Macaca mulatta: one gene and its partners. The main gene of each other region encodes a partner of the protein of the gene in region 2 in a complex. Links are inferred from orthologs where the notes say so. Each region holds a gene or a part of one and is shown on either strand. Other genes may lie near its edges. The genes, in order: FBXL17, BACH1 and FBXO22.

What was found.
Region 1: the proteins of BACH1 (region 2) and FBXL17 are in contact, whole or in part, in a cryo-EM structure (PDB 8UAH), measured with the Homo sapiens proteins. The link is inferred for Macaca mulatta from reciprocal best matches to the Homo sapiens genes BACH1 and FBXL17. Residues at the interface, in NP_001177.1 of Homo sapiens: Val20, Leu21, Ser23, Leu24, Gln27, Val32, Leu33, Asp35, Phe39, His48, Arg49, Ser50, Val51, Ala53, Ala54, Cys55, Ser56, Ser57, His60, Ser61, Arg62, Val64, Asn72, Thr74, Pro76, His116, Asn117; in NP_001156787.2 of Homo sapiens: Asp395, Arg421, Asn447, Gln473, Gln498, Glu499, Met524, Arg548, Cys574, Leu575, Tyr598, Val600, Ser601, Asp623, Trp626, Met651, Arg652, Val676, Gln678, Asp679, Cys680, Arg682, Thr683, Glu685, Gln689, Trp692.
Region 3: the proteins of BACH1 (region 2) and FBXO22 are in contact, whole or in part, in a cryo-EM structure (PDB 8S7D), measured with the Homo sapiens proteins. The link is inferred for Macaca mulatta from reciprocal best matches to the Homo sapiens genes BACH1 and FBXO22. Residues at the interface, in NP_001177.1 of Homo sapiens: Ser7, Val8, Phe9, Ala10, Tyr11, Glu12, Ser13, Ser14, Val15; in NP_671717.1 of Homo sapiens: Asp366, Gly371, Asn372, Phe373, Ile374, Leu375, Arg376, Lys377, Cys378.

Annotation. Positions count from the first base shown.
Region 1 is NC_133411.1:117,243,921-117,247,669, forward strand, and holds the start of FBXL17 (F-box/LRR-repeat protein 17), read right to left. Parts: upstream 2,209-3,749; 5' UTR 1,791-2,208; coding exon 795-1,790; exon of another isoform or gene 787-794; intron 1-786. UniProt on the Homo sapiens protein: Substrate-recognition component of the SCF(FBXL17) E3 ubiquitin ligase complex, a key component of a quality control pathway required to ensure functional dimerization of BTB domain-containing proteins (dimerization quality control, DQC).
Region 2 is NC_133408.1:18,172,098-18,175,746, reverse strand, and holds part of BACH1 (transcription regulator protein BACH1), read left to right. Parts: intron 1-3,071; coding exon 3,072-3,649. UniProt on the Homo sapiens protein: Transcriptional regulator that acts as a repressor or activator, depending on the context. Binds to NF-E2 DNA binding sites. Plays important roles in coordinating transcription activation and repression by MAFK.
Region 3 is NC_133412.1:54,044,730-54,048,378, reverse strand, and holds part of FBXO22 (F-box only protein 22), read right to left. Parts: intron 3,103-3,649; coding exon 2,937-3,102; intron 288-2,936; coding exon 1-287. UniProt on the Homo sapiens protein: Substrate-recognition component of the SCF (SKP1-CUL1-F-box protein)-type E3 ubiquitin ligase complex that is implicated in the control of various cellular processes such as cell cycle control, transcriptional regulation, DNA damage repair, and apoptosis.

The DNA of each region.
Region 1 (3,749 bases), on a different chromosome or scaffold from region 2:
GCTTTTATGCAAAGGCTAAACTGTAGAAGGGCATTACAACATAGCATAAACAAAGGGGTTTTAAAGTCAGGTGGTCTTAAATTCCCTCATTCAAGACCTAGATCTGCCCTTTACTTTCTGTATGTGACCTTGCACAAGTCATTCGACCACTTCAAGCCCCACTAGACTGTCAGCTCCACAGGAGCAAAGGCCACTTCTGCCTGACTCACTACTGTAAACAGTGGCCCACAGCACGGAGAAGTCAGTTTCTTCTGGTATAAAATAAAGATATTAACAGTATTTATCTCGCAGCTTTAACTGAAGGAATAAATGGGATATTATATATATAAAGTTCTGGTGCAGCGCCTGATTATGGTAAATGCTCAATAATAACTGTTTGACATTAACTACCAATCATCAAACATAAAAGTAATGTTTGAAGACCTTCAAATACTAATACGCAAAGCCTTTACCCACTAAGTATAAACTTCCCGATTAATTTTTTTTTTCTTTTCCACAGAATACCTGCGAAGTTTCTAAACGACTGGGTTGGGATTCTAATAATAGCTGAACCCTGAATGGTGGGTTACAGAGTCAAGCTATTAAAAGACATTCAGTAGACTCCAAGTGCTCCTACTTCAAAAAATAGGTCATACGCAGAGGCCCCACTGGCTTCCCAGTCTCCCCTTCGGACGTCCCTAGACTGTCAGGGAACCCCCCTCCTCCGCGTTTAGGGGGAGGAGAGAGAAAGCCTCAGAGGCGGGGGCCGAGGGTGGGGGAAAGCGAGCATCCCTGCGCCTCTCGCCCAGACCCACCTTGAGCAGGATGGACGGCGGCAGCTGGTTGATGTCTGGGGTTTCGGGGGACGGCTCCCTGTGACAGTCGCAGGGGTTTTCGGGGGGCTCCCGACAGTCCGCGTCGCCACATTCATGCTGCTGCTGGGCGGACGAGGGGGCGGTGCCCCCGGCTCGGACAGCGTCCCCGCCAGCTTCGGTAGGGGCACCTTCGGAGGTGGGAGAAGAGGGCGGGGGGCAGAGCGGCTGCGGGTGCTGCTCCGGGCCCTGGCAGCAGCCGGCGTCGGGGGGTCGGGGCGGCGAAGCGCCTCCCCCCGCAGGCCCTCCCCCACCACCACCGCCGCCGCTGCCGCAGCCCCCGCCGCCGCAGCGGGGCTGCTTGCAGGGGGTGCAGGCTGGGACCCCGGCCCCCTTCCGCTTGCACACCATTTCGGGGGGCGTAGGGGGCTCGGCCGGCGGCGGTGTCGGTCCCCGGAAGAGCTGCACGGCGGCGGGCGGCCCCAGGAAGCGCACCGGCCCCAAGCTGGCCAGGAAGAGACTTCGGCCCTGCTGCTCCCAGGCGGCGGCCGCAGCCAGCCCCAACTCTTTGCAGCAGGAGGCGGGCGACGAAGCCGAGGCGGCAGCGGCTGCGGCGGCGGCGGCCGAGGATAGCAGGAAGCGGCGGGCGGCAGCGGCGCAGTCCTCGGCGGCCAGGGCCGCGTAGCGCCGCGCCAGGTGCTGGGAGGAGGAGGCGGCAGCGTAGGCCCCGTCCCGCGGCGGCGGCGGCGGCGAGAGCGGCGGCTCCTCCTCTGGGCCGGCGGGGGCGGGCGCGCCGGGACTGTGCACGATGAAGCAGAGCATGCAGGGCCCGCGGAAGAAGCAGTCCCGGCTCCGGGGTGCCGCCGGTTGAGGGGGCACCTTGGCTGGGGTCCGGCGGGGCAGCCTGAGGAGAGGGCGCCGGCGGCGGCACCAACTGCAACAGCGAGGCCTCTTCTGGCTCGGGCGGTTACGCGGCTCCTTCGAGAGAAGGTGGCCCATATAGAAGACCCCGAGGAGGGGGACCGGGACGGGAGGGAGGGAGACCCAGAGAGGCGGGCTCCTGGCAGCGGGGCAGGCCGCTCGCTGGCTCGGCCCCCGGCCCGCGGCGGGGTCGCCCTCCCTGCGCACACACACGCACACACGGGCACACACGCGACGGTGGGGGGTGGGCGTCAGCTGCGGGCCGCCGGAGTGCCCGACGGGGGCTACATGCTCTGCCCAGGGAAGCCGGGAGAACGATGGGCGCGAGCTTTGGGGACGCGAGGGAGTGAGCGAGCGAGCGAGCCTGCCGGCTAGGTGACCAGTCCGGGCCCGGCCAGCCGGCTCAGTCAGTCAGCGCGGCAGCGGGGGCAAGGCCGGGTCCCGCTCGGACCATTTTAACTGCGGATCTGCCGCCGGCGCGCGCGCCCGCGACTCTGCTCGGAGCCGCAGGAACGCGCGGCCCGTTCCGGCAGGGGGCGGAGCCAGTTGCGGTGGCGCGCTCGTGGCGGGGACGCTAGCGCCCGCTGCTCACCCGGAACGGCAGCCACACGGCACTACGGGAAGAAGCCGGCCGGCTAGGGTATGGAGCTCTGGGCTCGCGGGGTGCGGCGCGCGCCCCTCCCTCCAGCCGCCTAAGGTTTTTCCGAAGCTGCTGGGCGTGCGCCGCTTTTCTAAGGCGGGAGGAGACACTTCCGAGCCAGCTGTGTGACATCCGTTTACACAGCCGCGCTGACGTCTCGAGGTGTAAGTTCAAGAGCTGCCATTGGCCGGTAGCCGCTCGGCTCTTCCCCTCATCTTCCACCCATATCACCACCCCTGACTCGGAAACCCAGGCCACTTCGAAGCCGCGAGGCGGGTTCCGCCGGAAGGGCCGGCGTGGGTGCTGACCGCGCCTTGGGCGGAGTGGCAGATGCGGCCGGTGGGTGATACGCACCCAAGTCATGTGAGGGGTTGATTGGTTGTGCGGCATCACTGTTTACTCACTTGTGTTTTATTAATTGTTGCGTACTACTGCCTTTCCACAACTTTATTTCAGAGTGAAAGCATATATCAAATTACCTGTGCACGGTGGAAAGATAACAGCTTCCCCACCCAATGAGCCATCCAACACCCAGGCTACAAGCTGTAGATCACTTTATTGTCTGCACCCTCGGAATGCTGTCTAGCCATCTGTTATATATTTTAAACATGACGGTGCAGTGCCGGCTGTATGACAAACCTTGGTGAGTCGGATGAGAAAGAGGAAATAGCTGTGCAGGCAGTCCGTTAGAAGGTTTGACTATATCGAGGCTAGAGAGCTAGGGCAGCTACTAGAGCGGCACCTGGTCTGGAGAAGTTAGCTTTCACAAGCGAAGAATTGGAGGAAGCAAATACCGATGGGAATGAGCGACTCCAATGAGAGAAATAGGAGAAGGTGGAATGGAGAGTGCTTTAGGAAGGACACTTTCTTCATTGTGATTACAGAGAATGACGAAAGGTAGATAAAGGATGAATATAGATAGGTGGATGTTTCTAGCCGGAAGGTGAGAGTTCCTTTCTGATGGTTTCTATTTTCCTTCAGATAGAGCTTGGTTACCTGCTGAAGGGTGGAAGTGAAGTGGCAGCTGTTTAAAAAAAAAATCTGCTAAGGATAACTTGAGAGAGCTGACTGAGGGAGCAGTATTGCAATATTCAAGGCCCAGTGACTTAGAGACCTCTGTTGGAACCTACATTGCTATTACCACTATAGTGGCCAGCGCCACCCAGTCTGCACTCAAACATGCTATCCAACATTTGTTTATTGTGGCCTCTTTGTCAGAAATGACTAATCTTAAGTCTGTCACATTCAGGGATCCTTCTTTCAGAGCCTAATGACAGTGATGTGGAATTCTAGAAGCAAATATTTGTCAAAAGGTTTCACAGACATACACGCTATTCACTATCAAATGCATTGCCTGAACTACATTTACCTACACATATAATCCACATAACTTTCAT
Region 2 (3,649 bases):
ATGTAGAAATTCTTTGTGTATGACAGGTCTGTGTGGGATGTTCCCAGTTGGATACAGTTGGATAAACTGTAAACTAAGTCTACAGTTTAGCTTGTTGCTGTCCATGCCTACTTCTATGAAACTGCAGCTACAGTTTTGGGAACAGATAGGTTGTCAGTTTTGTGGCAGAGGTCAGAGTCAATGGTGCAATACCAAGAAAATGGTAAAAAAGGCCAACCTGTGAACTGGCCATTGTTTTAAAAAAAGACCAACATATTTTATAATGGAGATATATTAATTATGGTTCATATTTTCAAATTATTGAATGAGACTTTCCAAGTAAAGCAAAGTTTGATTCATGGATTTAGGAGGAAAGGTATGTGCATACATGCATGTATGTGTGCATTCATTCTTTCTAATGTGTAAATCATAAGTTTTCAAATATTGGAAGTGTTTCATTATAGTGACAGTGTCAAAATACCTTATAACTCATTGTCCTAAAGACCTTTTTAGATTATTTTAACTAATTTAAAAATTTTAATTGAAATTTTTATTGAGTGTATTAGAGTTCTCCAGAGGGACAGAACTAATAGGATGTGTATATATATATATATATGAAGGGGCGTTTATTAAGGAAAATTGGCTCACACGTTCACAAGGTGAAGTCATACGATAGGCCACCTGCAAGCTGAGGAGGAAGAAAGCCAGTAGTGGCCCAGTCTGAGTCCAAAAGCCTCAAAAATAGGGAAGCCAACACTGTAGCCTTCAGTCTGAGGCCAAAGGCCCAAGAGCCCTCGTCAAACCACTGATGTAAGTCTAAGAGTCCAAAGGCCAAAGAACCTGGCATCTGATGTCAAGGGCAGGAAGCATCCAGCAGGGGAGAAAGGCGAAAGTCAGAAGAGTCAGCAAGTCACCTATCCCACCTTCTTCCTTCTGTTTTGTTCCAGCCTTGCTGGTAGCCGATTGGATGGTGCCCACCCATATTGAGGGTGGGTTATCTTTCCCAGTCCACTGACTCAAATGTTAATTTTCCCTAGCAACGCCCTCACTGACACACCCAGAAACAAGACTTTACAGCCTTCAATCCAGTCAAGTTGACATTTAATATTATCACCTTGATGTTTTCATGTACAGATATAAGAAACAGTGCAGAGTTCCTTTTCACTTTGTCCAGTGTCCCCCATTGATAACATTTTGCAAAGTTGTAGTGTAGTATTACAACCAGGATATTGATACAGTCCCCCATAGGGTTCAGATTGCCACAATTTTGCTTGTACTAATAATGTCTGTGTGTGTGTGTGCGCACACTCGCGCATTAAGTTCTATATAATTTTATCCCCTGTGAAGGTTTGTGTATCCACCACCATAGTTAAGATGCTCAGTTGGGTGCAGTGGCTCATGCCTGTAATCCCAGCACTTTGGGAGTCCGAGGCAGGCAGATCACCTGAGGTCAGGAGTTTACCAGCCTGGCCAACATGGCGAAACGTCTCTACTAAAAATACAAAAATTAGTCAGGCGTGGTGGCGGGCAACTGTAATCCCAGCTACTCGTGAGCCGAGATTGCACCACTGTACTCTAGCCTGGGTGACAGAGCGAGATTCCACCTCAAAAAAAAAAAAAGATACTGAACTTGCCAACACACAAAGATCCCTTTTGTTGTCCTTTTATAACCACAGACATCTCCTGCCTACACTCCATGCTCTCATTCCCTTGCCCCCTTTCTCCATCCCTAATCCATAGCCACCACTTACCTTTCTTCCTTTTCTAAAGTTTTGTCATTCTAAAAATGTTATATAAATGAAATTATGCAGTATATTACCTCTTAGGATTGATGTTGTTTGACTTAGGTGAGATTATCCAGGTTGTGTGTATCAGAAATTTTTTCCTTTTTATTGCTGAGTAGTATTCCGTAGTATGGATGTACCGTGTGTGTGTGTGTGTGTGTGTGTGTGTGTGTAGCTTTTCACCTATTGAAGGAAATCAGGCTAATTCCGGTTTTTGGCTATCACAAATAAGATTGCTGTAAACATTTGTGTACTGGTGTTTGTGTGAACATAAGTTTTTATTTCTTTGGGATAAAAGACCAGGAGTGCAGTTGCTGAGTCATATGGTAGTTGCATGTTTACTTTTATAAGAAAGTGTATTTCAAATTGTCTGTACCATTTTACATTCCCACTAGCAATATGTGAGTGATTTAGTTTCTCTGCATTCTCATTAGCATTTGATGGTATCATTGCTTTTTATTTGAGCCTTTAAAAAGCCTAAACATGGTTTAGCATGTTTAGATTTTTAAGATCACAAATATTATCTTGACCACTCTTATAAGAACTCAGTGGTTTCAAATTAATTTTGTACTTTTAACCCAGGATAGGACTTTCTGTGTACTTCAGCTGGTTCCATTTGCCTCTCATTTTAAGAGGCAGGTGTAATGTAAATGTGCAGGTTTCTACTTAAAAGTTTTGTTACTTTGAGTTCATGAATTTTTGCTGAAACAGTACTGAGGCATGATTTCTATAACTTCTCCTAGATCACTTTAAAAAATCTGTATCTTTAAAACTTTTACTGTTAGGACAGTAAAGTTAATAGTTACCAGTTAGTATGCATTTACCATGGATCAGGACTTTGTAACTTCTTTACAGGTACTGTTTTATATCCTTAAAAGTTCTGGTTTTGCAGCTGGTAGCAGTTGGGGTTGTTTGGAATACAGTGGCCATGTGGAGCTGGGCTAGCAGTAGGCTCACTATGTATGTGTGGCAGGTCGTGTTCATCCTGCTCTAATTCATAGATGATTTTTTTTTCCACTGTCATGGGAAACTTGTAATGTCTTAATGTCTTTAACTTATGTGAGTAAACCATAATTCATGTGCAATTAAGAGTGGACTCTATAAAATAGTGTGTGGTCGCTGTGAAAAGCATGCTTTTCCAGGATCCTTTCCTTTTCCATTTCTTAGAAGAATATTTTTTCTTTAAATTAAAGTACATATTTTATCATTGTCACAAATAAGTTACACATCTATTTCTCTTCCACTTATCTCATTTTTATGTACTAGACAGCTTTCAAATGATGTGTTTTTTATTTTGTGTATCAACAGGTGACAGTTAAAGGATTTGAACCTTTAATTCAGTTTGCCTACACTGCTAAACTGATTTTAAGTAAAGAGAATGTGGATGAAGTGTGCAAATGTGTGGAGTTTTTAAGTGTACACAATATTGAGGAATCCTGCTTTCAGTTTCTGAAATTTAAGTTTTTGGACTCCACTGCAGACCAGCAAGAATGCCCAAGAAAAAAATGCTTTTCATCACACTGTCAGAAAACAGATCTTAAACTTTCACTTTTGGACCAGAGGGATCTAGAAACAGATGAAGTGGAGGAATTTGTGGAAAATAAAAATGTTCAGACTCCTCAATGTAAACTCCGCAGGTATCAAGGAAATGCAAAAGCCTCGCCTCCTCTACAAGACAGTGCCAGTCAGACATACGAATCCATGTGCTTAGAGAAGGATGCTGCTCTGGCCTTGCCTTCTTTATGCCCCAAATACAGAAAATTCCAAAAAGCATTTGGAACTGACAGAGTCCGTACTGGGGAATCTAGTGTCAAAGACATTCATGCTTCTGTTCAGCCAAATGAAACGTCGGAAAATGAATGCCTGGGAGGAGTCCCGGAGTGTAG
Region 3 (3,649 bases), on a different chromosome or scaffold from region 2:
CATTTCCAAAGAAGCCGAATAGGGGAACACTAGGAAAAAACTTTCTGAACGCATCAGCCTCAACATTCCCCTTGGCTCTGTAATACTGAAAGCCCCTGCCAACGCATGCAAACATGAAGCCAATGGTGTTCTGCTCTGGAATGTTGGCCGCTTTGAGGCGCTGCATTGCAGCCTCCGCAGTCTTCTCATCACTGACGTCCTCGTTGAGGAGCACAGTGGCACTCTGGATTCGGTGTCCACTAAATGACAGTCCAACCACACCTGCGGCATCAATATCCAGAGGGTTCCTGGAAAATTTAGAAAAGTGGCAATATCTCATGAAACATTAAAATTTTTAAGTACAGAAGCAAAATCCTCCTGATTCACTGATGGGAGGCTGCTGCCTTTAGCAGCCTATGGTTAATCTGAGGCTCACCCTCACAGATGAGTAAAATATGGTCAAAAATCAAACTATTAAAATAGATCAAGAGAAGCCACCATTTTTTTCAGTCACAAATACAAAGGGGCAATGCACATCCATAACAATTTCTGAAACCCATATTTGGTTATTAGAAGGGACAGTTTCCTTACCTTTCTGACTTCCTTAAAAGGAATGTTATAATTTTATTAATATACACAAAGATATCCATTAAACGAAGCCTTCTGCTATTATTTACATTGTTAACATCTTTCCCCCCACTTCAGCTGTCAAATTCTGAAAGACATATATTAAAAATATAATAATGGAGGGTGATTTTATTTTTTTGGAGATCGGGTTCTCTGTTAGCGAGGCTGAAGTGCAGTGGCATAGTCATAGCTCACTGCAGCCTCAAACTCCTGGGATAAAGCAATCCTCCTGCCTGAGTCTCTCAAGTAGCTGGGGCTACAGACACATGCCACCACACCTGGCTAATCTGTAAACATTTTGTGGAGATAGGGTCTCACTATGTTGCGCAGGCTGGTCTCAAACTCCTGAACTCAAGCAATCCTCCTGCCTCAGCCTCCCAAAGTTCTGGGATTACAGGCATGAGCCACTATACCCAGTCTTAGGGGATAATTTTAAAAACCTATTAACTCTAGAAGTTTTAGCTTTATGTCTAGTCCACTAGAAAATATGTTATTTTTTTGTCTTGTTTATTGCTTTGAGTCTAGAATTCAGCTTAATTTGATGGTAAAAACTCATGTTTTGTTTTTGTATTTGCCTGGTTTTTTTTAAAAATGAAATATCCTTACAAAAGAAAATACAACATTGATAAAAGTTATAAAGCATATAATATAGTAAACATCCACTAGGGGAGAAACAAGTATGTTACATTTCTATCATGCTTCCAACATCTGAATCTATAAAATGGGCAAGATTCACTGGATTACTGAGAAACTAAGACACAAAAAGGTTAAGTGACTAAGGTAATAAGGCTAGCTAGTAGTAAAACGAGTTTGTGAGGGGTAAAATCTATCTTCTGAAGTACTCTGCTGCTTTTAAAACTTTATCACATTTCCTCTTTGGTACAGAATTGTTAATACATATTGTCAATCTTGCCTCAAAGAATTATTCACCTTCCTTTTGGGTTGTGGATCAGTTGGGTTATCTGGACTTTATTAAAATGGAGCACTCATTTACTCAACAGTTTCTCTTAATCACTGACAGAGTATGAAGACCACATTAAAATTAATGGGTCATATGAAAAGTAATGATTGGGGTGGAGGGTGTTTCTCATACTAGGTATAAAAAGTAGATGATATACAAATTGCTGTACTAACAAGCTAGCGCCTCAGATGTTTTAAGTCCGAGTGAGATACCTGCATTTCAAAGGTAAACTGTATGTTGAATCACCATTGCCCTATCGGTATACAATTTAAAAGTTAACAGCAAAGATACAGGAAAAATTAGGCAAGAGGGGAAATAACTTAGATAGTCACCAAGAATTCGGTGTATGTATGCACAAAATCCAGTGTTTGATATTCTACTGCCTGGGATTCAACGTACTTGGCTTTCCTCTTTTCCTCCTTCCTGGCAGTCCAGGGACCTCAACTTTAGCTATTTTCCCAGATCTAGCTCACAAAGACTACCAGAAAAGAGAGTATAACTAGGATGACTTACATAATTCTTACAGATATTGATCTCCAAGTCTGTCCCCAAGTCACCACTCTAGGATGCAAATATTAAACAGAGTGGGAAACAAATACTAGTGTTTACAAGCATTGAGGGTGGGGTAGGGTCTCATTTGCCTGCTGGAAACAAATGACATTTATGTCCACCTAATGGTTTCAAACTCAAAATGATATGTACTTTCATTCAAGATGGAAAGGAAGTAATGGCTTCCAAGACAGAAGAGCAAATATTTTTATCTTTGAAAGCAAAAGCCTTAGTAACAAAAATCAAAGATCCATAATTTTTGAGCTTGAAAAAGCCTTTCAAAAGATCTAATACAGAATTTCCAAAAACCAGTAGGACTTGCAAGATGCTCTGTGGAAAAAAAGGTTTTGTGACTTTTTTTGTGACAGATTTGGGAACTGTCACAGGTAATACTATTCCCCTTCCAGATTTCCAATGCACTGGGCATATTAGAAGCTCTGAGAAGTTTTGCATAAAGATACACTTGAACCATGTGTTTCCTTTAAAAGAGGAAACTAGAGAGGAGGTGACACATTGAGGTCACAGAGAGTACCACATTTGTCAAAGGAAAGATCAACAGGCAATGTCAAAATAAATTTTAAGGAGAATGTGAGTCCAACTAAGAAGTTCTTAAAGGACAATATATATAAAAATGTAATTATTCAACTGTAAGCAGAATTATGTTGAGTAAGCCCTTTAGCCAATGTCTACTACAAAATGGAATGAACTATTATCTTAGCAATTCTTTAAACGTGGTTTTTAAATTGTTAACCCCAAAGTGACAAAACCTGGGACCATTTCCCCTCATTCACAGAGGAAATCAGACACACACAAGACATACTTTTCAGAAGTCAGTGATGACAGGTTGTCCACCTGGCCTCCAGCCAAGATGATATTCATATCACTGAAAGTGCTGACTACTTGCTGCAGATAATTACTGGCTCCCACCTTACAGCAATTATAACCAAAGACAAGGACCACACGAAGTTCAGGGTTATCTAAAAGACCTGCAGAGAAATGAAGAGCAAGAGTTAAAGACAGCCTTAAAACAAATTATTTTATACATGTTGCAAAATGAAATGTTACTGTTAATAACTTGCATTCCTCCTTAAGGGCAATTTAGTGGCTTAAGCTATGAAATTTTCCTTTTTTTTAATCTTATTTTATATCCTCTTCTATCTCTGTATCACGTTTTTCATTTCTTACAAACATTATGCAAACTCTTTATAATTTTTTTCTATTAAAAAACCAAATGACTATTTGTATTAATAAATAATACAATGAACACAAATAATGAAGCAGCTATGTACTGAGCAGCAATCCTTGGTGGACCAAGGTGCAAGCTGGCTCCCGGTAGGGAACAAAAGAGAACACTGGTTTACACAGAGCTGCGCTAGCAGCAGTGAAAATTTACAGACGTTTTATTTTTTAAAGGAGAGAAAAGGCGCTAACCACCTATAGTGTGGTGAACAGTGCCCCCTGCCCACGCAAAAGGTATATCCACATCCAATCTCCAGAACCTATGCATGTGAGCTTATTTGGAAAAAGGATCTA